4 linked regions of the Lonchura striata genome follow. The protein of the gene in region 1 purifies or fractionates together with the protein of each later gene. This does not show direct contact. Links are inferred from orthologs where the notes say so. Each region holds a gene or a part of one and is shown on either strand. Other genes may lie near its edges. The genes, in order: BTRC, PER2, HIVEP1 and TWIST1.

Region 1 (7,383 bases):
ATTTAATATCAGAAATAAATTAGGTCTTATTAAGACATAGAGGTAAATTGAGTAAGCAAATGAAATTAAATAAATTACTTAAATCTTAAAGTATTAGATTATACATATTGTACCTGAGCACAGATAACCAGAAAATGTAGCAGGTATCAGTTAAATGCAATACTGCTTCATTGGCAAGTAATCCAGCCAACACCAGCTACTGAGAAGGCAGCTGCCTTCTACTGCCATCAAAAAGTTACACAGACATGAGCATAGAGAAGAACAACAGAGTACTGTTTGTCTTTCAAAGCATCAAATATGGATGCTTTAAAGCAGAATAATTTAATTAATAATATTAGCACTGGATGAAGCTTTCCCATTTTTCTGTTAGACTTGGACATTAAAATGAAAATCAAATCACTAAGTCCATCTTGCCTGGTACCTTGTGATTCAAAAGAGCTGCTCAAAGTCAATGTCAAAAATTAAGTTCTCACATTTTTAAGTGGAAAAAAAAGTATTATTTTCTAGAGAAGCATAAACAAACTACCACCTCGAGGGCTGCTTTTCAGTATGAAATGAAACCTACCCCAAACACATATCAAAACCAAAACCGTCTCTCCTGCCTTTGACAATAGGCCTCATACCTCCAAAATGTACTTGAATCTTTACCTACAATGCTCTTTGGGAAGCTCCCAGGAAAATCAATAATTATTAGCAAAGCCCATCACAAGCCAAACTGTGAGCCACCTAATAAGGAAGATGCAAATGAAGCGTATCACATACTCTGATGGACAGGGTAATCCACAGTGAATGATTCAGCATTAGCTGAGAGGATGCATGAGCTGATCTGCTACCTCTGTGTGGATAACTGTACCAGTGCCACTACTGCAGTGCCTGAGCACTGTCTGAGTGCTACATGGACCAGAAAAGACATTTTCAGGAAGGGCCAGGATGATACTTGCAACTGATTGCTCCTGTATGCTGATGTATCTATCTGTGTCACCCTTCCAGAACACCAGAAGACCCCACCAAGTCTGACAAACACTTCACTTCATCAGCAGAATTAAAGGAAGAGCCATGTTCTGGACTGATGCACACTAAAGCAAAAGCCTGGGATGTGCTTAACAAAAGCTTTGCTTACTCTATTCTCAACCTGTAAGCAAAAAAACCCTAAAAAGTTCAGAATGGACAGAGAGAAGTCATATCTTTCACTGTATGTTTTACAGGCATTTTGCAAACAAGAGGCACTTAAATAAAACATGAAAGAACGTGGGTTAGCTTTTAGCTCTCAGTGCAGCCTGGTCTTGATAATTCTTCCCTTTATCTGGTGCTCTTAACAGATGCATATCCCAGAAGAGCAGCTTCCTCTCACAGGCATGCCTCTCCCCAGTGTCAGGGAGCTCTATTGTTGGAGTCCATCAATATCTGTTGTTGTCCATCTATATCAGCTATTGTTGGAGTCCATCATCATCCTGCCAGCTGCAGGATGGACAGGGATTCCCTCAGCCTCCAGACCCAATCTTACAGACAATCTCAAACCACCCGGACTAAGCCCTTGAATGAAAATCATAGCACAGGGGGCCAAAAAGCAATGTATGAGAAGTCAGCATAGCATGCTCACAATGCTGTCTGGCAGCAGACAAGAATGTTTCAGCAGAAACTTTCTGGGATGTGAAACTCACTATCTAGAGGCAGGTTGTAATTACCAAGCTTGGCCAAACACAAGTGCAGCAGGATCTGGGACACTCCTTTGGCCAACCCCACACCAAAGATGGCCATTCATTACTTCTGATTGATATCTTGCTGATTTAGGTGTCCATAGCATTTTTCCACTTCACCTAGCTGAGACTCTATAAATCTGACAAACTTGGAGACTACTAGCAAATGGCTTAAAAAGTCTCAAGAGAGAAACAAGTTCTTCCAGATGAAAAGCCAAAAGTCAAACAAGTGTATTGAAGCTCAATTAGAAATTAAAATTTGCAGCTAGTGTTTCCTCAATTTCATTTTGGGCATATGTTCTGACAATTTAATAGCATTCCTTCTTCCTGATGAGCTCAAGTTTAATTCTGTGACACTAGAAGCACTAATCCAAAACAAACTTTTAGCAAGTGCTGCCAGTCATTTGAATTATATCCTTAGGGAAGAAGAGTTCAGGGCACCTGGAATTCACATTCAATTTAGTTGGCAACACTTTGTTTTCGTTTCTAAATTTTACATTTCTGGCCAAAATGCTCAGAAACATCAACAAATTAAGAAAGAAGAATGAAGCTACCGTTTAAGTACACAATGCCTCAAATCTATGGAAATTAGCTATATTAGAAGAGCATCTTGGATGCATGTACTGTTTTCCATACCAACTCAAAACCTAAACAATGTATATGCTCCCCACAGTTCTATCAGTGATGTGCTGCTGCAGCAGCAGGTGAAACACTTAACTGCCAGGATTTAGAGATCTGGCAGGAGAATGGGAGGAAAAATAAATTACAGAGAGATGGTGAGCAGTACAGCAGGATAGTCTAAGGTGCACAAATAAAGAAAAAAATCCAAGAGTTACATGCGCAAAGCCTGCCGGTGCCTGCGGGCCCCTCTGCCAGGTCCTGCCTCACTCCGGTTTAACTTCCCCCTCTCCCAGGTGGCACCTGCAGCCGCCTCCCCCTGCTCCCGAGGCTCCCGTTGCCGGGATCTGGGGACCCTGCTCGCTGCCCTCCCCGCGGCAGGACGCCCCTCCCCGGGCCCGCTCACCGCCTTCCCCGCCCGCCAGCCCCGAGGCCCGGCTCCCCTTCCCCGCTGCTCCCCGCTCCACCTCGCCCCGTTCCCCCGCAGCCCCTCCACAGGCAGAGCTGCCCACCCTCCCCCGCCGCCTTCGCCGACCCCCGCGGCCGCTCACCATGAACTTGAGCGCCTTTTCCTGCAGGACGGCCTCGGCCGGGTCCATGGCGCTGCGGGGCCGGGCCGGGGCCGCCCCCCCGCTCAGTGCAGGCCGCAGCCAGCGCAGACGGGAACCTGCGCTGCCCCGCGCCCCCCCACCGCGCCCCGCTGCCGCACCGCGCATGCGCCGCTCCGCAGGCCCACGGGAAATGGAGTCCCCGGTCACGTCCCTGGCAAAGGGCCGACCTGCCGGATAAAACTACAAATCCCGGCAGGTTCCGGGCCTGGGGGCACGCTGGGAGCCGGCTGGCGCATGCGTTGTGTGAGCGCAAGGGCCGACGGGGGTTGTAGTAACGTGGGCCTAAGGGTGCGAGGTGCGGGCCAGGGGAGGATAGACGCGGCCGCTCGGGGCGGGCGAGGGAGGGAGGCGAGGTCCTGCAGGTGCCGTGTGGGCAGTGTCCAGCTCCAGTCCTTCCCTGCGGCTGGAAGGTACGGCTGGCTCCCGAGTCACAGCCCCGCGCTCCCAAACGCGCCGCAGGAGGGCTCGGCTGCTCCCAGGCTTTGCTCCCGCTGCGCTCCGTGCTGGCTGCCCGAGCCCATTGCTGCTGGCAAACCTAAACTGAGCCCCTGCACTGCGTGCAGAAATGTCTGGGGAAAAGTTACCAGGTCCGCAGGGGATGTGAAACTGGAAAATTTGCATCACTGGCATGGATCAAGGAGGCTGACATCATTCTGGAGAGATGTTTGTTTGAAGCCATCCTGTACATAAAAAGCCTCCCGTGGTGCTTTGGTGCCCTTCTTCTAATAATGGTTTTAGATCAATTTTCCCTGAAAATTGGACCAAGTTTTCTTTGCTGTACTAAGCAGCAAAGAGAAAAAAAGAATTGATCAGCATTCCTTGACTAGCAACTGCATATAGACAGAAAATTTATCTTATCTCCTCTGTTTCTCTGTTGCACACTTACAACATCAGCTCACGTGGCAACCATTGTTTCTAATCCTCTTTATTAAATTTGTCTCATCTCTTTCCAGTTTTTCTACATTTTTCACGGTGCCCAAAAACTTAAGCTGACGTGTATGGAGCAGCAGAGAGGAATTGCTTCCTATGGTTTTAATACCAACTATAAAACCCTGATAAGTTTTTACTTCTCTATAGCAAACAAAACACTGATTTCTAGCCAGTTTGTCATCTAGTAAAACACTCTGGTTCTTTTCCTTGCTGCATTTATATATTTGGCTCTGCATTTTAAGTGAGATACTCTGAATTTCTTCCTATTTAAATGCAAAGAAGCCAGCCACAAACATCAGCACTTGTATGTCCACGTGCAGCTCAAACCCATTGTTTTCATTCCCTGTTTGACACAGCAACAAAAGTGAAGCTTCAGGCAGGTACAAAACCTGTATCTCCTGAGTCCCAGTGCCTTCCCTCATTTTCTCTAAACACTCCATCTCCTCCAGATTTTCAGGCAGAATGATTAGAGAGAAAACAGAGGATGCAGAGAATGTGCCCATTACTGGATTCCTCCCAGGGCATGTGACTAGGTAGTGCCTTGTGATCCAGTGCCAGGAGAGTCTGCTGCAGCCAGTGACCCAGCAGAGGTGACAGGGAATGTCAGCCTTTGCAGGGTGTGATGCTGGCATGATCCATGCTCTCAGAGCAGTGGTCTAAGAGAAGGAGGAAGAGATAACCTGATGTTCTCCCTCTACAATCCCAGGGCATTGAAATCTCCCAAATAAAGCTTCCATGTCACCAGGACAAGAGGCTGCCATTCATGACCCAGCCATGCTCTTGGCTGTCGTGCTTTAAGCCCAGACTCTTAGCAGTGAAATGCCTGAAATGCTTGGCTCTAGTGGGGCTGGGCACTTTCCAGACTGCTGACAGCACTGAGAACACTCACCACGATTATATAAATAACAGTAATTATAAGGAGGGAATCCTATAATTACAAAGGGAGGGCTCCTGTAACAGCACTGAAGGCAAGCAGGGGCTGCTGGTGCTCGAGGCAGGGCTCTCCCATGTCTCCTTCCTCCAGGCATCCTGCAGCTGGCTTGGGGTGTAAATGGATCCTCCTGGTAGCAGCGTGGCAGGCTCAGAGCTTTGATTGCACGGTTTATTTGTCAATAATATCTGATGCCGACCTAATTGTTGGAAAATTGGAAAGTGTAATGCTTCAGCATTAGACACCAGTGTCCCAAAGCCCTCCAGGCTGATTGATCTGTCTGGACTGTAACTTACAGGGGATTAATGTCCCTGAACTCTGTGGAGCCAGAACTAATGAGTGTTTAGGTGCTGGACTTAAACTTGGTGGTAGAAGGTCATGGCTTGGTTACTCTGCCACACTGCCATCAGAACCCCACAACACAGAACCACTGCAGAGGGACAGGGCAGGAGCCTCAGCTGCAGCACAGAGTGACTGAGGAAAGACTCCCAGAAACAGCACTTGGCCCAGCAGCGCTGAGCATGGAGTGACACCTTGTTGTGAGAACCTCACCTGGATCTCTACGTCTGTGGCCTGACCTTGTCGCCCCTTCCCACTGTGGGATGCTCCCTGCAGCTGAATGGCCAGCTCTGCACCCACCAGCTTGCTGAGTCCTCTGTGGCCAGAGGAGATGATGATCAGCACACCAAGCTGTGACACCATCAAGGTGTCACATCAGACAGCAGGCAGAGACCAATTGGAGAGGTGTGTGGTTCATAAGGCAGGGAGAAGGCACACTTCAATAGATTTACCACCAATTATTTGTTTGAGTTGCAGGAACTGGACATGTGTAGTCAGTGCTGTCTCTGCCACAGTAGAGCTGCCCTTTACTTTTCCTTGAAACAGCAATCATACCCCCCCACCCTGCCCTCCACCCCCTCGCTGCAGAGCACTGAAACGAGCCCATATAGTGCTCAGGGGCCTCACCATCCTTCCAGATGAAGGATGCTACCTAACAGTAAAGATATTACTGTGATTATTTTTACAATAGCATATTGCTCTGTGCATTCCAGACTCTGTGGACCACATCCACGCCTGGTGTAACGCCATGTTAATTTGCTGTGGCAGTCATTAATTGGGTAAGGAACAGCTGGTGCTTTGCTTCAAGTGAAGCTGATTGGGTCAGTAAGTAAGTGGTTAAGAGATCTACAGCAGGTATAGCCCTACCTTTCTCTGCACTCCAGAGGGGTTTCACTTCTTGTCCCAGTGACCCATGGTGGAAGCAGCAAGATTTGGCCATAAAACATTAGGGAACTTTAATCAGTGCGATTCCTTTGGGCATTATTGCCTGAATTTTTAAATTTTGAATAATAAAGGATGATTTTAAATTAAATTTGTGGAGTTGCCATCTGTGTGGGCTTGGCCTTGTTTTCCTCTACTTTGGCAGTGCCTTGGCTTCATTCTTTCCAAGTTGGAGCAAAGAGGAAGGGAAGTGAAAATAAGAGAGTTCACTGGTGGAAGAATCTTTTGTTGTTCCCTTTGTCCTGCAAGAACTTGGCAGCAGCAGTAGCAGCAGCTGCTACTGGGGCTGTGTTTCACAGGGCTGAACACAGAGGCAATCTCTGGTAGCACAAGAGCTTGTGAGAAGGTGACAGGGACCCCTGCAACCAGAAACATCCCAGTGGGTCAGCTCAGCCTCTCCAGCCTTGCTTTTCCTGACAGTGTCATGTCCCACACAGGGCTCTGGCATCTCAGCTAAAGGCACTTGGTGTGCAATGGCCTAGGGAAACTGAGGGCAGAATGCCTCCCTGTAGCCTGTGGACAAAGGGTCTCTTTTAGGACAAAGGGACACTCAGTCATGCAAGAGGGAAGGGAGGGAGTCCAGGACCACACAGTATGAATTATGTTCTCTGAGCAGGACAGTACTCATTACTTGGTATAAGTAGACATGCAAAGCTGCACGTATGGAGGGGATGACCAGAGAGAAAGGCTTGTCTGCAGAGAAACCACAGTAGTGTAGGCTATAGATTAACGTCTATGGGTTGAGCTGATTATATCTCTTATGCTGCTGCAAAGGGGAGATGCATCCTCTCTCCTGTGTCTGACAGCCACATGTTTCTTCTCACCTTCTGCTGGCTCCGAAACCTATTTGCTAGCACAGTAAGCTGGTTTAGTTGACTATATTGGCAGGAAAATTATACTCAGGAAATATTAACTAAACACTTTGCTCACAAGTCAAACTGGCTTTTTCTTACAACCACACAAATGGCAAAGTTGCTGTAAGGGCAAGTGGACCAGGGCAAAGAAAGATGAGATTGGTCCCTCTTAGTTACTGGGAGCTGCTAATTCAGCAAACAGAAGGTGGAAAACTTCTTGTCTTCCCACTTGTCAGGATCCCTGGACCCTCCTGAGGGTTGAGAGCCCTCTCTGCACTAATATCATCATCACTGGCTCTGGATGGCCAAGGCAGAGTGTCTTGGAGAGAACACATCCTGAAAGTTTGGAATACTTACAGGAATCCTGAGCAGATTAAACCTGAGTTCACTTCCCATCCTACCGTAGTGGCTGCATGGTGCTGCTCCCCCACCAGATTCACTGGGCCACTGGGAAGCTGACG
Region 2 (7,119 bases), on another chromosome or scaffold:
AGTGTCTGGATGCTTTTGAATGGTGAAGCCCAACCTGACGTAATCACTTTCTTTCAGGGCAGAAGAGGATGTCTAAATCCAACACAGTAGGCAGGATTGAGGATGCACTTTCCTGCCTGGCATCTCTTATTAACTCTCTTATGCTAATCTAATGACATGCAAATTTCATTTTAAGTGCCTAACTCTATAATTTGGTGTTCTTCTTGGTCTTGGATCCTCACTCCAGCTCAAAATATGTTCTTTGATCCCGTTTTGGTTTGGCTTTTGTGCTCTCACAGCTGTGATGTAATCAAACCAAAAACTTCTTTCATGGGATATTTTCAGTCAAGTCGGTTTCCTAATCTAAGTACCAGTACAATTGCATAATCACTGATTTTTAACTCAGTGGAGGTGGTAGGACTGTTCCTCTTGGTGGATGTTTAAGGACTTTGATCACCTTAGGCAGATCATGAAATCACAAACTATCACTCTCTGAGTTATGCAGGAAGCTTTAAACCCCTATTCAGCACAGTGAATTCAATGTCAAGTTCTCTTCATTCAGCTTTCTGAGTGGCTGACTGCAGAAAATGAGTTGCTAATACACACTAAACAGCAGGATCTCAGACCTGGACTAAAATCATGCTCATGGGCTTGTGGATAAGCACATAGAGGTATAGTGGGGGGAGATACACCCCTTCCATTTGTATCCTTCTAAAAGAAGAATTCAGGGCTCCTTCATGTGTCATTTTTCAAGATATTTGGAACATAAAATTACACTGCATTTGCCAAGAGAAACTGAATTTAATAAGAATAGCAAGAAAACAGTAAAAATAGGGACAGAATGAAAACCTGCTCTCCCCAGAAGTTGTTAGCAAAGGTTTTCTGTCTGGTGACAAGCAGACACTTGTGCAAAGGAATTCTGAACTGCAGCATATTTCAGGAACTTGCTGCTTGAGTTGAAGTTCTTTATAATGTTTTTTACATTCCTTTACATTTAATGAAAGCATTTTCAAAACTGTATGATATTTCTGTCTATTTGTTGCAGTTGATTCCTACACCTGCAATGCTTTTAGAAAAACCTGTCCATATATTTACTGGTAATGAATAAAATGGGTTTTTTCCTTTCCTCCTCCTTTGTCTGCACAGAGAGTAAGAGTGACGACTTTTGCTCATTAGCAAAAAAAGCCTTTCCGGATCTTTGCAAGAATCAATGACTGTCAGCGTCAGTGTAAATGGTGAGTAATTAAGACTAGGAAATGAAGAATTAGACGTGGGTTCCAGCTGTAAAGTATTGATTGTTTTTTTTTTTTTAATAATACACAGTTCCGTCAGTGCTGTGGAGTATCTTTGAACAGGCGACTTCTACAAGTGGATAGGGAAGCACAGTTTTTCAAAAAGGAGTCTTATTTCCTTAGCAAATCCAAGCAAGCAGTCCTCAGGTAGTTTTTCAGGTGGTCTCAAACTATTATTTTTCGATATTGAAAGACTTGGATTTTTTCCCCCTTTAAAAATGTAGATACTGTCAATAAGTTGCTGCTTATCAGACTGAATTGCTTCAGTTAAGCAAAAATTCTACTTTTTATATATGCTGGGAAAAGGTTCGGCATTTGCGTGTGTGCCTAAAAAACTACTGATGTAAGTGCGGGAAGCAGCGGGATTGCACAGAAAACCCCCAAGGAGCGGCATTTTCCCGCGGGGCCGCAGGAGGGAGCCGGGCAGCGCTGGAAGCTGCGCCCCAGCGCGCCGGGCAGAGCCAGCTGGGGCAGTGCCAGCGGGGACCTGGTGCACACACACACACATTTGTACTGCCATGCTCCAGGAGTTACAGCTGAACACACACGCACACAAAATAAACAAAGCTGGGGAAAAAAAACACCAGCATTTTAATGCTTTTCTTACAAGCTTTGTGTTCTTTAGAACCATTTGTGTGTGCATATATGTATTTTACTCCTGCCTACCAGACAAAGTGACCTTAAAAACAAACGTGTAGAACCCATAAAATTTTGCAATAACTTTATTTTGCTCTGTTCCATAGTAGATGAGTCAATAGCAATATTCACTCCTTCAGAAGCCATGTGCACGCACTCATTTCAAATTGGAGATGCCTGGAATAATTTGTATCTGCACACATGATTTATCTTGTGCCAATTTTCTGGAAGTTGCAGAATTTGGACTGAACTCAAATTCACATTTTGAGTAACACAGCTTACCATGTTTTTTGCTACATTAAATATAAAGCTGTAACTACTAAAAGGTGGTATGAACAGAACTTAAAAATCATTCCCATAAGTGTGACTGAAACAGCTGATTAGTATCCCTTTAAAATAAGCAGAACTCAAGTAATGCCTCTGGTAGTTACCGGGGTGGGAAAGGTACTGGCTATTTGTGGTGGTGGGGGTTACTCTTCTGCCAGGACTGGCATGTCCTGCTGCAATGGGGAATGTGTGTCCTGGGAACTCATTTAGCTCTAACACAGTGCCATGGTTTGCCATCCTTCTCGTATTTGTGATCTGATGGGGTGTGGGACAGTGTGGATCTCAAGGTTTCGCTTTGGTTGAAGTGCCTTAGTTGGAGTCTGTGCTAAAAGACTAAAGCCCTCAGCACACAGAGAGGGATGGGTATTTTTGGCATGTAACACGAAAAACAACATCCCATGGAAACCAAGAATATTATTCTACATCCCTTTAATCCTAAAGCAGAGAACTGACAAAAAGACAATGAAATTCTGGATGTGAAGACCTACCAACAACAAGTTGACCAAACTACATAAAGACTGCCTAATTAGGATTAATCTTAAAATTAGACTCCTCAGAGGAGCGCAAACTAAGAATGGTATCCTGGTAAGCTGACTTGTGCGTTGCAACAAATCCAGTTGCAGAATCTGGTTCTAATGCTTCCGCTGCCCACCCCCTCTCCTCTCCAGCAGTTAAATACTGCACAGTCCTTTACTCACAGGCTGTTTCTGTAACAGTCAGAGCATAAATACCTGTGTATCTAATGGACTTATCCTTAACACTGCAGTGAGGAAGGGAAGTGGCATTAACCTCATTTTGCAGATAAACAGTAGAAGCCCTGATGGTTGTCCGGTGTTTCATCCTATGGAGCAACTGCATACATGCAGTGAGTGTAAAACGCTGTCAGCCCGAATGTGGCTTTGGCACATTCTCTGCTCCTTCTTTGCAAAGTCATCTACTACAGCGGAGACAGAGGAAACTCAGAATACACATAAAGTAACATGAATTTCTCACTTACCGATTGCTCTGCTTAGCCTTGGGAGATGTGGAGACTGGAGCAGGGCCGAGGTGTTCAGCAGAGGATTATTGGGTTATCTCACTGAACTACTCAGGTTCTCGCACCAGTGTTGGATGGATGGTGCAGGGGCCTGAGCGCAAACCTGTGTGACTGATGTATAAGAATTCATTAAATTCTTTATTACTGTAAAATGGGAAGTGTCAATGGTCTCTGAAAGTTTTGATTCAACAAAAGCTGAAAAACTTCTTTAAACAGAGAAGTTTTTAAACACAATTCTTTAAACAGTTGGAATGGAAAGCCATTGTATGGTAACGTGTCACCATGCAGAAATACTGTTGCCGAGAACAGTACATACATTTAAGAGCTCGGAAATTCTTAGATCAATCATGGTTGTAGCTGTTCAGACTGATGCTGCCGGCCGGTCCGGGAGAAAGCTGCAGCCCTACGCTCTGCTGCGCTGCCCTTTGCTTTGTGACCCGGCGCAGCCTGAACAATACGCGGGGGCACTTTGGAAACCTCAGGGCGTGCACCCAGCGCGGGCGGCAGCACCGGGAAACGGGATACGGGCGCTGCTGCCTTATGTAAGCGAAGCAAGCGCCGGCAGGGTGAGCCCCGCGGGCTGAGCCCGGCAGGGTGAGCCCTCAGGGTGAGCCCTCAGGGTGACCCCCTCGGAGTGACCCCTCAGGGTGACCCCGGCAGGGTGACCCCGGCAGGGTGACCCCTCAGGGTGACCCCCCAGGCCGCCCCGCCGCCCTCAGGGCGGGCCCGCTCCGGGCTCGGCCGCCAACGGTCTCCGCCCGCGCGCGCGCGCGACACGTCACGCGCGGCTCCGAGCGGGCGGGGGCGGAGCCGCGCTCCCCGGGGGCGTCACGTGACCACCGGCCCCCAATCCATCCTCCCCGGCCCGGCGGTCCCGTAGCGGCGGGCGCGGGCGGAGGCGAACGGAGCTACCGCGGCTTCGGCGGGAGGCGGCGAAGGGGCCGGCGGTGAGTGCGCCCCGGTGGTGGCGGCGGCGCGGGGGAGGGGAGGGGCGGGCCGGCGGCGGGGAAGGCTCGGGAGGCGGCCGCGGCTGTCGGTGGAAACATGGTGCCACACGTGAGGCTTATGTAAAGTGAGCGGCGGCCCGCGCGGCCAATGGCAGCGGCGCGCGCCCCGCCCCCGCCCGCGCGTCCCGCTGGCGTCAGGCGGCCGCGGCCAATGGGCGCGCGGGCGGGGCGGGCGCGCGGCGGCCGGTCACGTTTCTGCCCGTATGAAGCCCGAGCCGGGACGCGCCGGGCCGGCGGGACGCGCCGCGCGCGGTGAGTGGGGGCCCGCCGGGCGCGCTCCGCGCCGCCCGAAGGGGCCGGGGAACCCGCGGGGAGCGGCGGGAGGGGGCGGCGAGCGGCGGTCGCGGGGGGCACGGGGGTTCCCCCGCCTCCTCCGCCCGCCGGGCCGAGGTTACGTAACCCGCGCGCCGGGGCTCTCCCGTTGCTGGGACGCTGCGCGCGCGGGGCGCTCCCGTTCCCCGGGGTCCGTCCCGCTGCCGGCCCCGGCCCGCCGGGGAGGGGGCACTCGGGGCTCCCTCAGAACGGCGGCTGTGACACGCCCCCCCCGCTCCCCGTGAAACCGCAGCGAGGGAAGCGGCGGCCGGCCGTGAGTCGCTTCCCGGGGCGGGGTGCGGGGCAGAGTGCGGCACGGCCCCCGCCCGTCCGGGAGCGGGGGCACCGCGGGGCCGGGGCGGCACCGGGCTCTCCGGGGGGCGGCGCTGGCCCCGGCCCGGAGCGGGGGAGGAGGCGGCGGGGCCGGACCCGGTCCCCGGCGGGCTCCGCTCCGCCGTCCCTGCCGGCCGCGGGCTGCGGCCACGTCCGTGCGAGGGGCGCGGAGCGGGGGAACCGGCGGGGAGCGCGCGGACCCCGGGGCGGCAGTGCGGGGGGACCGAGCCGGCTCCCGCCGGCCGGGCGGGCTGCTCCGCGGGAGGAGCTGTCAGGCAGCGAGGAACCGATCTCAGCGCTGCCGAGATGTGTGAGCTACAGGTAGAGCAGGCAACAGGTGCTGTCCATTTGTTTCTTGTGTTGCATGTACCTGTAAGACACTCTGTTCCTTGAGACGTGTGGTTGTGCTGCTGTTCACATTAGTGCATAGTATTACATGCATGATTACAAAACCCTTTATGTAAGTACAGTTTCATGCAAATTGGTGAGCAGCGTGGCAGCAGTCAAGCTGACGCTTTACATTTGACTTTTCGTAATAGGGTAAGTATTTAATAAAGGGACAGCATTTCTCTGTGTACCATAGGAGCTTAAAAAGGCCTCACAGGAGGTTGGTATGAGGTCCCAGGTACTTGGGAAACTACCGTGCCTCACAAGTGTATTCCAGTGAAAAAGTAACTTGGCTGAGACTGTGCACTGATTCAGATCAAAGAAACAGAATCATTAAGAATTGTAAAGACCTCTGAGATCCTTAAGTCCAACTGTTTTGTCCATATGTCCAATCTAAATCTACCCTCTTGCAGTTTCAAACCACTGTCTTTCATCCTGTCACCACATGCCCTGATAAGAAGTCTTTCTCCATCTTCCTTATAAGCTCATGTCTTTCTTTTCCAAATGCAAGACTTTGAGATTTATTGTCTTGGATATCTGAGATTGAATAGTTATCACAAGTAAAGGGAAAGAAGTGGAAATTATCTAGTGATTCTAGTGGTAAGAGTATATATCAAGTCAGAAGTAGAGTAAAAACCTGATTAGTATGGTGAGAAAACATTCCAAGTTGCCAGTATTGTTTCAGCCACAGTTTGATTTGTGTTAGGGAGAGTGCCCACATTGTTGCACTGTAACATCAAGTTCCTTCTTGCTTATGCTTGTACAGGTTTGAGTGCTTTTATGTTCTTTCTGTTTTACCTTTGTCTTTGAAACTTGCATGATTTCTGCAAAGTGGGGAAGTTTCACTGAAGGACTGGACTGTGTCCTTGCTCCATGTAAAGCTAGATGTTAGTCTTGAGAAGATGACAACACTGTCCTGAGGTGTGGAGTCCTGATTCTGAACTGTGGAGGTTGCTCACCTCACTAGTAACACACAGAGGAAAAGAGATGGCCTTTGGCCTGGAGTAGAAGAAGAAAAGTAAACCAAAACCTTCAGGTTTTGGCCATTTCAAGTGTGTATTTCAAGGCAGAAAGAAGATACTTTAGTTGGGTGTCATAAATGTGTGTCTTTCACTACAGTGAAAGAGGATAGTCTATCCTTTGTTGGTTTGGCTTGATGTAGTTCAGAAGGAAAAGACATAGAAATAGTTTTTTTTCTTTTATGCACTTCTTCATATTTGGCAAGTTTTTTTTATTTTGTTTATAATTCAAAGACTGCATGGTTTTGCTGGAATTTTTTTTTATTTGTCCGTTGGTGGGACTTGTTATAGACTTTCTATATTCATTTTAGCAAACAAATTCTGTCGGTGAAAATCTAAGTAATCCTCATTTTTACAATTTTCTGTTATTCATTTTAGATTTCCACATAGAGGCATTGAAGAGCCAGCATATTCTTGTCATAATACCTTCTCTGCTTTCTCTTCCTCCAGTCATTTGACTGTAAAGTGTCTAACAACACAGCTTACTTGATAAACTTCCTCGAACCTCTCCTTGAACAATATGCTCTTACAGTAATAAACTTTTTTAGTAAATGGAGATATTGATGGAGTTTAGTCTCAAAGTATGAGAATAGAGTGAAGTGGGGAAAGTGATTGGCAGTAGAGTTCTGGATGTTTCTTCTACTTCAGACATTTATTATGACCAGGAAGTGTTTGGCTTAGATACAGACTGATAAACAGTTTTCTTTTTCCTGGGTTCTTGCCTCACCCTTATTTCTCTAACATCTTTACAGTATTAGAATATGCTTTACTGCATTAAAAAAAAAAAACTT
Region 3 (7,012 bases), on another chromosome or scaffold:
AGACAACAAAAAGTAATGCACAGATATGTTTTTTTACCAGAGAAAGATCTCTAAAACATTACTAGAATGGCACTACTGTCTTAACAGGAAGAACATGCATGGTGGATCATTGCAGAATTGGCTCTGAATGTTTGTCAGCAAAACCTCTGACTCAACAGAAAGCACAACCTGTGGTTTGTTAGCCCCGGTGACCTTGGTGCCTCATTGTGCAAGCTGTTCACAGGATCAGATACCCCAAAATGGAGCCTTAGATGGGGGAGGTGTTCAGTAATGTTTCAATTATGAACTTTCTTGATTTAATAATAATAATTCACTTTGTTTTTTCATTTGAGTTCACTGTGGAGGCTATTGTAAGATCATCAGGGACTCCAGGAATGCATGGTCCCAGTAAGCCAAGGGGATAACTCACATGCTCAGATGATGCCTGTAAAACTTGATACAAGAACTCCTTAAGCACATGCTCTGGTTTTCTGAGAGTGCATTAGTGGGACTTAACAGACACACAAATTCTTTCCTGAAGATAGGCACAGGAAAAATTACTCCACAAAGGAAATGCCTCTCCATAGAGGGACTCACAGCTGTGCTATGTACTCTTCCCCCTCACTGCACTCTGGTGCCTGAAGCCTTTGGGGAGCTGAGCTGTTCTTCACAGGCTAGTCTCCTATCTGTGTCCAGCATCTGCCTCATGTGTCTTGGTTTTCTTTATCTCAGCTGGCCTGCCTCCATGCTGGATTTCTTCTGGACAAGCAGACAAACCCAGTATTTTAAAGAAGTGAGTACACACCATTTCTGGGTTTTATGGGTTGACTGGCTGCTTCTCCTGTAGCACTTCTATGGCAATAATATAATCTAAGTATCTTGAAGGAACTTAGACAATCTAAGCCAGTGGAGGATTCGATGTCTTAACTTCTGCTTCTTCTTGTGTTTCCATGAGCTTATCTGCAAATTTAACAGTGCATCAGTGTCAGATTCTACTTTTCACAGATGTACACACATTTAATTAATCAGAATGGCTGTTCCATAGTTTGGTCAAAATAATATATAAATCGCATTTTTGTGACTTAAAAAAAGGCTTTGACACTTGCGTTAAAGACAGGGCTGGGGAATGATTCACCTCTGAAGGAAATAGTGTGCTCTTTCTGTTGTACCACTTCTTAAGCCACCTGACAAACAGCTTTGAGACCTGCTGCTGCACCCTAGAACATGTTTTGATGTTGCCTTTCAAGCGTTTAAACAGAAGATAGAGCCAGTTGTAAAATGTCTTACTTCTTTTTGATGAAAAAGAGCTTCAACTGGAATGTGATGAAGCCACGGCACAACTTTCTGGAAGGGCTGAATGTGCAGCTGGAGGTGAAGAAGTCGGTGTAGAGGCTGCCAAGCCAGACTGGAGCAGCAGTTTGGGTCAGGGGCAAACAGGGCTGGATGCTGCAGCTGCCAGCAGCTAATCCATGAAAAACCAAACACCAGTCATTTCTCTCCTTACTGCAGTGAGAAGCCAGCCTTGTCCCATGTTTCTTTCACTGTAGTTCTCCCTCTCCTTCGTCTGTCTTTCCTCTATCTTGTACGTTACATGGGTAATTGTTTATCAATGTGTGAAAATGGATAAAGGATGCAGTCATACTGCTGTGATAAGAATTTTGGAAAATGAGATCCATGGCTTTTACACTGTTGGCCTTGTGAAATTTTGGGACAGCTGTAAGAGTGCAAGTGCTGTGTTTTCAACTTGTATTTGTTCCCTACAGTGTGTTTTTAAAATTTTCTACACTCCTCAGGCATTGGAGCTTAACTTTCTTAGCCTTAGACTAAAAAGATTTATAAAATCACTGGCCACAACTTGAGAAAATGATTTTTCAGGAGACCTCATAAACAGGGAAATGACATAAAACCACGATAATTCACAGCAAAGCCATATGTTTAATTATTGTTGTAGCCATTTGGATTTAAGGATGACTGAACATCTTTAAATTATAGAGCATTTTTTACAAAAGGTGAACTGTGTAGTTTGTGATGAACCACTGCAAATATTCTGTGTACTATTTGAATGCCACTTCACAGTTCTGAAGAATAAAGGCTAAAGGAACTAGAAACTTTGTTGTTGATCTGTACCTAGTGATCTGCAATATGACTACAAAGTAAACATTCCAGTAAGCAAGTAAATTTTAACATACTTGAGAATCTTCAATAGAACGGGGATTATTTTCTCCTTTGTGGATTTCTTCTATTCATATCTGTACTGGGAAGGAGGCAAGGGAAAACATTTCCACAGAAAATAAGCCTGTTTTGCTTATTTCTTTTTAACCCTGCAACTTTTGAGCTGCTAAGCTAACTTAACGTGCTCAAAAAGTGATATTTAAAAGACCTCTCCCAGACATGTCTGTGGCAAACAATACTAGAGGGCCACTGAATGGCAGAAATACTTGGGGAAGAAAGCATGGGTTGGAATGCTTTTTAATCACTCAGATATGTTAAAATGTTTGTGGTCAAACCTAAAGAAAAACCATACCACTGAAGGCATCTTGGCAAGGTGCACTTGTGTTAAGTGCCTTGTGTGTCTCCTGTTTCTTTAACTGATAAAATAAAAGGCTTAGGAAAAAATGCTGGCAAGCCACACCATATTTAAATGAGCAGTTCAGAACCTAGAGCTACTGAGAAAGAAAGATCAGAGTGAACTGGTGGGGTGAGGTAAAAAAGGAGATGCAGTGGAAAATATGAGCAACTTCATGAAAAAAGGTCAGAAACCTGTCTTACTCAGAAGTAAAAATACCAGGGTGGAAGGGAGTAAAAGGGCTGTGAAAGTGCAGAGCCTGCTGACCTATAGAGAAGCATCTCTTTGTGAAAAGACAGAAGAAATTTTCAGTGGAAAGCCAAAAGCTCTGGGACTTGCTTTTCATGGGTACATCTACTCTAACTTCAGAGCACCAGCCCAAGCTCAAACTTGTCTCATGTTTGGACACAAGACTCTGCTCAGGGCCCTGGGTGAGCTCCATCTCTGGGAGGAGGTGGGGGTTTGTACTGGCTCAGTCCTTTATTATAACCCAAATGGTATCATACCATGCGCTTCAGATGAGCCTTTGCCTTCTCCCGAATTCTCCATTCCAGATCTCATAATTCTGTGTGGCAACTATCTCCCTCCTAGAAGTGCTTAATGTCACATTCCACAAAACCCTGCTGGATGTGTGGTGTGCTGAGTACGAGGCATTCACAGCATTGCCAGTGGTCCAGCCTGCTCCTTATCTGGCTAAGGGCAAGTCAGCAGCAGGGTCACACTATCTGCCTGCCACTGGGGCTTCCTCTTGGACAAAAAGGCAACAGTGGTTCAACCAGTACAATTTTAATTATTTTTTGTTTTTCTCCTTAGACTTTGGCATGCCGTCATAAATGGTTTGGCCAGACAAGGAGTGGGGCCAGCCTGGAAAATGCTGAGGGTGACTCCCTGTCTCTTGGCCTCACCAGGTGTCTCATGCTCCAGCAGGGAGGATGCTGCATGAGGTGTGGGCTCAGCACTGGTCTCACCAGGGCTTGCAGGACCAAAGGACACCTCACAGGGATTTGGTTAGAAGATATCCTTCTCATTGGCTGCTTTGCTCTGCGCCTGGTCTCTTGTCTGACCTCTGTCCTGTGACCAGCCACATGAGGCCTCATGTGCTGGGAGGAAAGAAGGCTGATGTTAGGCTGTGGTGGTGGTGGTAAAATTAGGGTTAAAGTAGGTTTTCTTCCCCTGCCTCCATGAGCTGTCCTGTGATTACTCTTGGGGGAGCACCCCAGCTTCCCCAGCAGTTGGGACTCTTCCAAAGAGGGAGAAGGACAAAAAATCACCAAAAGAGAATTTAGCGTAGCCTCTTAAACACAAGTATTCTTGTCTGAGATGCTCTGATATCATTAAGATGAATATGATATAAATAAGTAGATATGGTATCAGTGATGTTGAAGTTCATTGAAATGTTTGGTTAATAATACCTGGAAAAAGGTGAAGCTCTGTCAGTGAACTGTGCCCTATATCATGTGATTAACCTGAAGCTGGACAGATTTGTACATTTTCCTGGCCACAGGACTACCAGGTACCAGGTACCACCACACAGAGCTGCAGTGTATACACATAAATAAAAAGAAAGGTTGTGCCAAAATTCTTTGATGGAACAGTTTGCATTATTTAATGCCAAATCAGAAAGAACTGAACCAACTTATGGGACAATGAAAAGCAACTCATCTTCAGGACATCTTGAGAAAGGTGGAGATGAAGGATATTGCCATGCAAAATGTCCCAGTGGAGATCATCTTCTTGTTTGGAGCTGCAGGCTGTGAGGAGTGGTGCATGACCAGGTCCCTGTGCTGTTGCCTTTGCCTACCTCCAGGAAAGCGTCTGGCTGTTGCTGACAAGGGAGAGCTGTGAGTATCTGGGGTGACAGCTACTGCTACAGAAAAGGGGGAAATTACCTCCCCTCACATCAGCGGTTGCTGCCCTATCTCTCCAGCCCCGCTGCAGGAGTGGCAAGCCCTAGAAAAGCTCTAAGCACCCTCTGGTACCAGGTAAGCCAAGATCCTCTGACTTTCATATGTAGTACTCAATGAGAAGCCTCAGAGCATAAGCTAATAGACAACAGTTCTTTTAGTGAAACCTTTATGTTAATTCAATACAGACTACTTATGGAATTTCCCTTCTCTGAGAAAATCTCAACTTCTATAGAGAACAGCACTCAGTCTTGTTCTTTTTCTTTTCAGAATTTCAGAAGTTCCCTTGAAAATTCCCCGAAGCCTTAATAATAATGATTCTCAGTTGCATGTCAGAATGTAATGTACAATGTAAAGTTTTCACATTTGATGCTCTGCGTAGTTAAATTTACCACAGTGCTTCACATTCAATTTATCCCAAGAATTCAAGCAAAATCACATACTGTTCAACTAGAGATTTATCATGGGGTGCTTAACAATGAATTATTCAAGACTACCTAATGTATCGTGGTTTCTTGAGAGCCTAATGTGTGTATGTGTATATATTTATATATAAAATACCTGTGAGCCATTACAGAAAAACAGTTTCTGAACAAGGTTTCAAGAGTAAAATGAGAGGATGTTTAAAAATAGGTGTCGTCCTGAAAATACAGCAGAGTTTTAGAGAGAAGAAAACCTCAATAATCTTCCCTGTTCAGGTATACACATAGTCAATTAAAGAGGATCTATATCCTTCAGGACTCCTTTTAGGTGAAATTTTAAAAGTATCTAAATTCTGCAGTGAAGGTGGTGTTGTGTTTTTTTTTTTTTTTTTTCCTCTGTGCATATTGATGTGGCATTTTAAATCTCACTGAAAAGTTTTAAAGAATTTCCCTCATTTGCAGGTTTGAGAAGATTACTCTGTGCCTCCTACTAGCAATCATCCACAGTACTTTTCCAAAAGTACTTTACTGAGTGGGTAAGCACTTCCTTTTTACTGATGGAAAAACAGAAAAAGATGAAGTGGTCTGCCCGGGATAAACAGCTGGTATGCTGCCTTTTCAAAGCCCTTAGGATTGCATTTTTTACCTGACCGGGGGGCAGCGTGCTGGAACGACATTGAACTGGGCTCAAGGCAGCCCTTTGGCCCTTAGTTCTGCCCACTGGAGGGGAACCAGCTGAGGAGAGGCCCCAGCTCACAGCTGCTTTTTTGGCTGCTTTTTCAGAAGACCATGGAAATAGCTCCAAGGGGCCAGACTTTCAGTTCTTCGTTTTGTCCTCTGACCCAAACTGACTTTGCAATGACTGATTTTATGTTCAAGGGAGGATAAGCTGCCACCACATGATACACATCCCTGAGGACCTGTCTCCTCTTTGACACCTCATTGAGTCTTTCTTGTTAAGACAGTTGTGCTTGTCTGCAGGAATATAATAAGGGCACTTATTACATTCCTGTGCACATAGGTGTGATGAGAGGGCTGATTTTCACTGATAGGTGGGAGGTGGTTTGACTACTTCTATCAGAAGAAACTTTTCCTGCTGGCTGCAGGGGGTTTAATATGGTCTCATTTCAACTTGCAGGCTGGAGCATCTCTTTTGAACTTACTCAGGTCCTTGTGAAAAGATGAGTAGCCTAGAACTCCTTTGGCACCAGCAGCAGTTGTGATGGCTCTTTTTTCTGGAGGCTTCTTGTGAGAAAGGGCCACTATCTGACACTTTCTCCCTGATGACTCTGGTGATCACAATCTGAGGCTTTCAGACAATGAGTGGCAAAGAAGGATCTAGATGCTAAGTGCCCCAGAGCCTGCAGGACAGACTGTAAGGGAGAGCTGAGCAGAACAAGTAGAGGTTCAGACCCAGCTTCAGAGGTCGCAGGGTCCTGGGTTTGTGACTGGTCAGACTTGGTACACGAATTTATGTTTGTGGCACTTGTAGGATCATATTCACGCTGCTGCGCTTAGAGTAACAGCAACTCTGTTCTTTAGCAAGTCAGAGTCCCAAGTCTAAAAGCCAGACAAAGGAAGAACAAGGGAGGGGGTGGAGGGCGGGACAGACAAGGGAGAAGACAAGCACTGTCTCTAATAATAAAGAATCGTCATTTGCTTGTCCAATAGGAGCAGCAGAACACATTTCTCCTGAAGATACTCTTTGCGGGTCTGATTTTTCCATGAATCTCCAGTTCAGCAAAGAATACTTTATCTTACCCTAACCACCAGTTGCAAACTAGCCAGGGATTTCACTTACATTTGCTTCTCGTGTTGCCTCTGGGCAGGACATAGGACAGGTTACCCACAGCAGAGAAACTGCCACCACTGTAAGCTGGAAGTGTTCTCAAGGTATAATTTAAGTGAACTCAAGAGGAAAAATAGCCCAGAGACAGCGCCTGTGGCCAAAAGCTCAGGCAGAAGTGGTGTCATGTCAGTCCACAGCTATGCAGCGAGCTACTCTGCATCTTCCTGTCTTGGTTTCTCCCCTGTGAAATGGGGATTAAAATACCCATCTGTCTTACAAACATGATTATATGTAGGTTGAAAGAACTCCCTGTAAAAACCTTGAAAACTGTGGGAATGGTGGTCCTGTTTGC
Region 4 (4,930 bases), on another chromosome or scaffold:
ACAGAAGGGTTGGCATCAAGGTTGGGCCATCCCTTTACAGCTAATTCTCTGTGATCCACCATGACTACAGTGATCATCATAGACCAACTTACTCTTCATTTCTTCCTACCAGGAGTTTGTAATTTATTTAGCTCTGTGTTCACAGCCATACCTGCAATCTAGATGGCTGCTTTACCAGGGTTGTACCTTTCTGCAGAGGTGACAAAATGCTGGAATGTTCTGGGTCCTGCCAGTGTTCCATGCAAGAGTGTTCCATGACATATATTTTCCTGAGCTGAGGCCCAGGGAAGCTTGCAAGAATGGACCTGGAAGTATCTCTAGAAAGGTCCTGGACCTGTTTGCAGTTTTCCTTGCTACTGCCAAAGAATGAAACAGGGTTGAAATTCTGCCCGTGGCGTCAGGAGAGTTCTTACCTAAGCCAAGCCTATGCATAGAGAAAAACAGGACATGATGTCCTTTATCCCATGCTCTAAAGTGGTCTGAAGAACTACCTTAGCTGAGGTTCAAAACAGATGGTTTAACACTGCATAACTAAAATACAATTATTATTTTAGTGTGAAATGCAAGGGCTTCACCTCAATCCTCATCAGAATTGTAGATTTCAAAATAAACCAGAATTTAATTTATTTTCTTTAATCTCTGCTCAGACTTCACTCCCCTTCCCTTCTGACATGTGCTCACACTGAAAAAGATCAACAGTACATGCATGCACACACAAACACATCCCCACATATAAACACACCAGTATGCCTTTCTCTCTCACACAGACCCCCAGACATGGCTCTCTGAAACATCCACCCTCCTCCCAACACAGCTCCACACACTCCAGCACTAGGCAGGTTTGCTGCCTGCCAGCAGGCCTGGGGGATCCAGGAAGACTCCCACAGCCAGCCCAGCCCAGCCCAAGTCCCTCAGGACAGATCATTGCCACCACAGCTTCTCTGGACCCTGCACTCCTGTGTGAATCTTAGCAGTAACATCATAGGCTTATATATATGCCTTTGCTCCTGAGCCCATAATTTGGGAGTCAGAGTTAAACCAAAACCCAAAATGAAGATGATGGAAGGGGTGAGGCAGGGAGGGTTGTCCTGGTTTATGCAGCAGTGTGCAGGTCACAGGTAGAACCACATGAGTCCTGCTAAACACTGCTGGTTTCTTTTGCTGCAGTTTACACAAAGAGTAGCTAACACTAAGCCCAGCCATCTACTATGGTAAACTACTCCTCTTTCAACTCCATTCCTACATTTCTCCATGTTTTCAATTGTTATAAACCATGTAACACTACTTCCCCATCTGTCCTTGACTTCTCCATACACCCTGCTCCACACACCCTCCTCCCGCCCCATGACAAGCAGGTGATGTCCTGCATCCCATTCGAAGTTCAGGTTACCCAGACAAGTTGTGCATCTTGCCAAATCAGCTCAGGATGTGCTGCCCCTCCCTCCTTTCAGGCAGCATCCTGTTCCCAGCAAGGTAATAGCTATCCAGGTTTGGTTTTGCCCTGTGATTTTTATTTTTCTTATAAGAAGAATGAGGGAAGGAAGGTGGATAGGAAAGCAGGCAGGCAGGCAGGCAGGCAGGCAGGAAGGAAGGAAGGAAGGAAGGAAGGAAGGAAGGAAGGAAGGAAGGCCCCTAGAGCCACCTACAGATGCTCATCACTACTGTTTCCAACATTGATTCTGTAATGACACTGCTCAACACTCCCGAGGAGCAGTGAGGCTCTGGGTACAGACAAAATTATTGGTGAAAGGGAGGTGAAAGGAGAGCCAGCTATTCTTACCTTGGGATCAGCAGCTGCTGCCAACACAAGAGAACCCCTGAAGCTCTTAGTGTTAAGCTGAATGAAGAGGCCTGACACAGCAGGGACAAGCCGAAAGCCGAGAAAGCCGTGCAGGCTCACTGTGGGTCTGCGTGCGGCGTGCCTTCCCTTGCCGGCTAAGGCGGTCCCTGTTTTCTCCCCGGTCCTTTTTCCAGCTGTTTGCCAAAAGAGAAGGTTTTGGGCAGACTGCTATGTGCTCGCACCCCGGGATGGAAATCCAAGAAGGAGACCTCGCCGAGAGGGGCAGCGAACGGAGAAGCGCTGGGACAGCTCCGGCGGCGGCGGGTGCCGGACGGCGCTGCGGCGGGGCCGGGGCCAGGGCCGTGGGCGGGCAGCTGCCCCTCGGCGGCGGCCAAGCAGGGTCCTGGCCCCTGCCAGCTCCCGGGATGAGACGCCTCTGCTCGGAGGAAAGGGAGTCAGTCCTCAGGTAGAGGAGAGAGACGACTCTGTTCCCCGGAGAAGATGTCAGCGCTCTTCCACGAGCCTTGTTTTATTTCATGCCTGGGATTTATCGCTCCTCTGCCATTCCGTTTTCCCTGTCCGCCCTCACACCTCAAACAAGCCGGGGAGCTCTGCGCTGCCGGCGCTGCCAGCTCCGCTCCGCACCGTGCCCGTCCGGGCGGTGGCTGCCAGGCCGGCAGCAGAGGAGCGCGGTCCCCACGCAGGGAGCAGAGAGAACTTCGCCCCGTTTACTGATGGATGGCAATTTCTAGCTTTCCCTCCCAGGCGCTCCCCGTTTGAATCTGAGCTGTTGTTTAAAAGACACACCACCTGCTCTGTGCTGCCAGAGAGCGGGGAAGGAGGCACAAAGGCGGGGGATGGGAAGAAACAGCTTTGGCTGCAGACATAGAAGAGAAATTAAAATAAATAATCTCTTTTCCCAGGAAGTGCCGGATTCGGGTGCCTTGTGGGAGGACGGACTGAAGTGAGTGCTCAGGACACAATGAGTGTGGGCAAAGAGGGTCTGTATACCCTCCCGTCTCCCGGTGTGCCGGTTGGTGACGCGGATCCTCCCGGTTGCTCTTAAGCCGAGCTCAGGGACTGGTGCTTATGCATATACGAACCAATACTTGGTTTCCCAGCTGCTTCCACCTCTGAAGATGGCTTTCTCCGAGCTTAGTCCTTCAGCTTGGCAGGACGAGGCTATGCCATCACCCCTCCCCAAGCCCAGAAATGTGCGACTCACTCCGCTAGTCAGATCCCAGGGCGCTCAGTGATTGGGAAGTGCGGCGTGTGCTAAAGCGGGTCAAAATTAGGATGCGCCTTGATGCTGCGCCGCGGGTAATTCCCTTTTCCTCCTTTTTGCTACAAGCCGTGTCCGCTGCGGCGAAGAAAGCCCGAGAGGTGCAGGCTTACCCCGGCCGCTCGGGGCGGCTGCCCCAGCACAGGCTCTGAGCGGCTCGCTGACCCTCCCGCAGCAGCGCACGGGGTGTTGGGCATCCCCAAAACCTCCCGGCCCGGCCCTCAGCACCACCCCAAAGCCGAGCGCTAACCGAAGGAGTTTGAGAGAGAAACCACGGAGAGGGAAACGGAGAAAGAGGTTGGGGTAGAGATGTATGTGAATGCCTGTGGGGAAGCCAGATCACTTGTGAATGGCTTGAAAAAAAATAATTGGGGGAGGGCGTGGAGGGGGGGAAGCGGAAACTTTCCTATAAAACTCAGCAAAAGTCCCTCCTCTCCACGTCAGGCCAATGACACTGCTGCCCCCAAACTTTCCGCCAGCAGGAGCTATAAGAACCTCCAAGTCTTCAACTTTCTCCCAATCCCAGACACCTCGAAGGGGCTCCAAGGAGGGATCGGGAGGGATATTTTTTTTTTGGTTGGCCTTTTTATTTTTTTCCTCTTGGATCCTGATGCCATCCCCCCTCCCCCCAAAGTGAGGTCCTCCCTCCTTCCTTCCCTCCTCCTTCTCGCAGGCCAGCGAAGCAGCCGATCAAGGGGGAGCTGGCGGGTTAGGTGCCCCCCTCTTCTCCCTGCCCTCCCCCCCCTCCCGGCCCGCTTCTCGCGTCTCCCCCCAGAGATGATGCAGCAGGACGAGTCAAACTCTCCAGTCTCCCCCGCCGACGACAGCTTGAGCAACAGCGAAGAGGAGCCGGACCGGCAGCAGCTGCCCAACAACAAGAGAGGGGGGCGCAAGCGCCGCTCCAGCCGCCGCAGCGCCGGCGGCGCCGTCGGGGCCGCGGACGAGCCCTGCAGCCCGGCCCAAGGCAAGCGGGGCAAGAAGTGCGGGGCGGGCGGGGGCGGCGGGGGCGGCGGAAGCAGCAGCGGCGGCGGCAGCCCCCAGTCCTACGAGGAGCTGCAGACCCAGCGGGTCATGGCCAACGTGCGGGAGCGGCAGCGCACGCAGTCGCTGAACGAAGCCTTCGCCGCCCTGCGGAAGATCATCCCCACGCTGCCTTCGGACAAGCTGAGCAAGATCCAGACCCTCAAGCTGGCGGCCAGGTACATCGACTTCCTCTACCAGGTCTTACAGAGCGACGAGCTGGACTCCAAGATGGCAAGCTGCAGCTATGTGGCCCACGAGCGGCTCAGCTACGCCTTCTCGGTGTGGAGAATGGAGGGCGCCTGGTCCATGTCCGCATCGCACTAGCAGGCGGCGTCCCCCACCCGCATCCCCCCGGCAGGAGCCCTAGGTAAGACAGGGACCCCGAAACCGGCGGGAAGAAAGGGGGGAGGGAGGCGAGAGGCCGCCGGCCGCGCCGTGAGCTGAGCACGCGTGGCCGTGGGGCGAGAGGGCCCGCACCCCGCCCGGAGGGGCCTGGCTTCCCGGAGCAGCCGGAGAGCGGGGCGGCCGGAGGTGCCTCTCCCACTCCGGCCTGTCCCTCCTCCTGCGCGGCCCGAGGTGCGCCCCGAGCCCCGCGGGGCCCACGCGTGGCCGGGCGCTGCCGGCGGGGTGGGCTGCGGGCGGGACGCGGCGGCCGCGCGGGTGTGCCCCAGCCAGATGGGGCCGGCCTGAGGTCTCTTCTTCACCAAACGCTGCGGAGCCGGCAGGGCTGCTGGGACGGCTCCTGCTGCCGCCACTGCTGGTGCTGCTGGTGCTGCTCGTATTTTGAAGTGATGTCCTCCCGTTGTGCTGCCCGATGAGGGTTTCCTACCACCCCAGCAGTCCCT

Evidence for each region.
Region 2: the proteins of BTRC (region 1) and PER2 purify together in Homo sapiens (affinity purification with western blotting; 4 studies listed by BioGRID and IntAct, with this or other methods). This does not show direct contact. The link is inferred for Lonchura striata from reciprocal best matches to the Homo sapiens genes BTRC and PER2.
Region 3: the proteins of BTRC (region 1) and HIVEP1 purify together in Homo sapiens (affinity purification with mass spectrometry; 5 studies listed by BioGRID and IntAct, counting the BioPlex papers as one, with this or other methods). This does not show direct contact. The link is inferred for Lonchura striata from reciprocal best matches to the Homo sapiens genes BTRC and HIVEP1.
Region 4: the proteins of BTRC (region 1) and TWIST1 purify together in Homo sapiens (affinity purification with western blotting; 4 studies listed by BioGRID). This does not show direct contact. The link is inferred for Lonchura striata from reciprocal best matches to the Homo sapiens genes BTRC and TWIST1.

Annotation. Positions count from the first base shown.
Region 1 is NC_134609.1:19,680,862-19,688,244, forward strand, and holds the start of BTRC (F-box/WD repeat-containing protein 1A), read right to left. Parts: upstream 3,007-7,383; 5' UTR 2,915-3,006; coding exon 2,867-2,914; intron 1-2,866. UniProt on the Homo sapiens protein: Substrate recognition component of a SCF (SKP1-CUL1-F-box protein) E3 ubiquitin-protein ligase complex which mediates the ubiquitination and subsequent proteasomal degradation of target proteins. Recognizes and binds to phosphorylated target proteins.
Region 2 is NC_134612.1:2,127,906-2,135,024, forward strand, and holds the start of PER2 (period circadian protein homolog 2), read left to right. Parts: upstream 1-4,108; 5' UTR 4,109-4,217; intron 4,218-4,429; exon of another isoform or gene 4,430-4,529; intron 4,530-7,119. UniProt on the Homo sapiens protein: Transcriptional repressor which forms a core component of the circadian clock.
Region 3 is NC_134603.1:91,367,818-91,374,829, reverse strand, and holds the start of HIVEP1 (zinc finger protein 40), read left to right. Parts: upstream 1-3,998; 5' UTR 3,999-4,386; exon of another isoform or gene 4,387-4,527; intron 4,528-5,333; 5' UTR 5,334-5,407; intron 5,408-7,012.
Region 4 is NC_134603.1:126,560,734-126,565,663, forward strand, and holds TWIST1 (twist-related protein 1), read left to right. Parts: upstream 1-3,839; coding exon 3,840-4,409; downstream 4,410-4,930. UniProt on the Homo sapiens protein: Acts as a transcriptional regulator. Inhibits myogenesis by sequestrating E proteins, inhibiting trans-activation by MEF2, and inhibiting DNA-binding by MYOD1 through physical interaction. This interaction probably involves the basic domains of both proteins.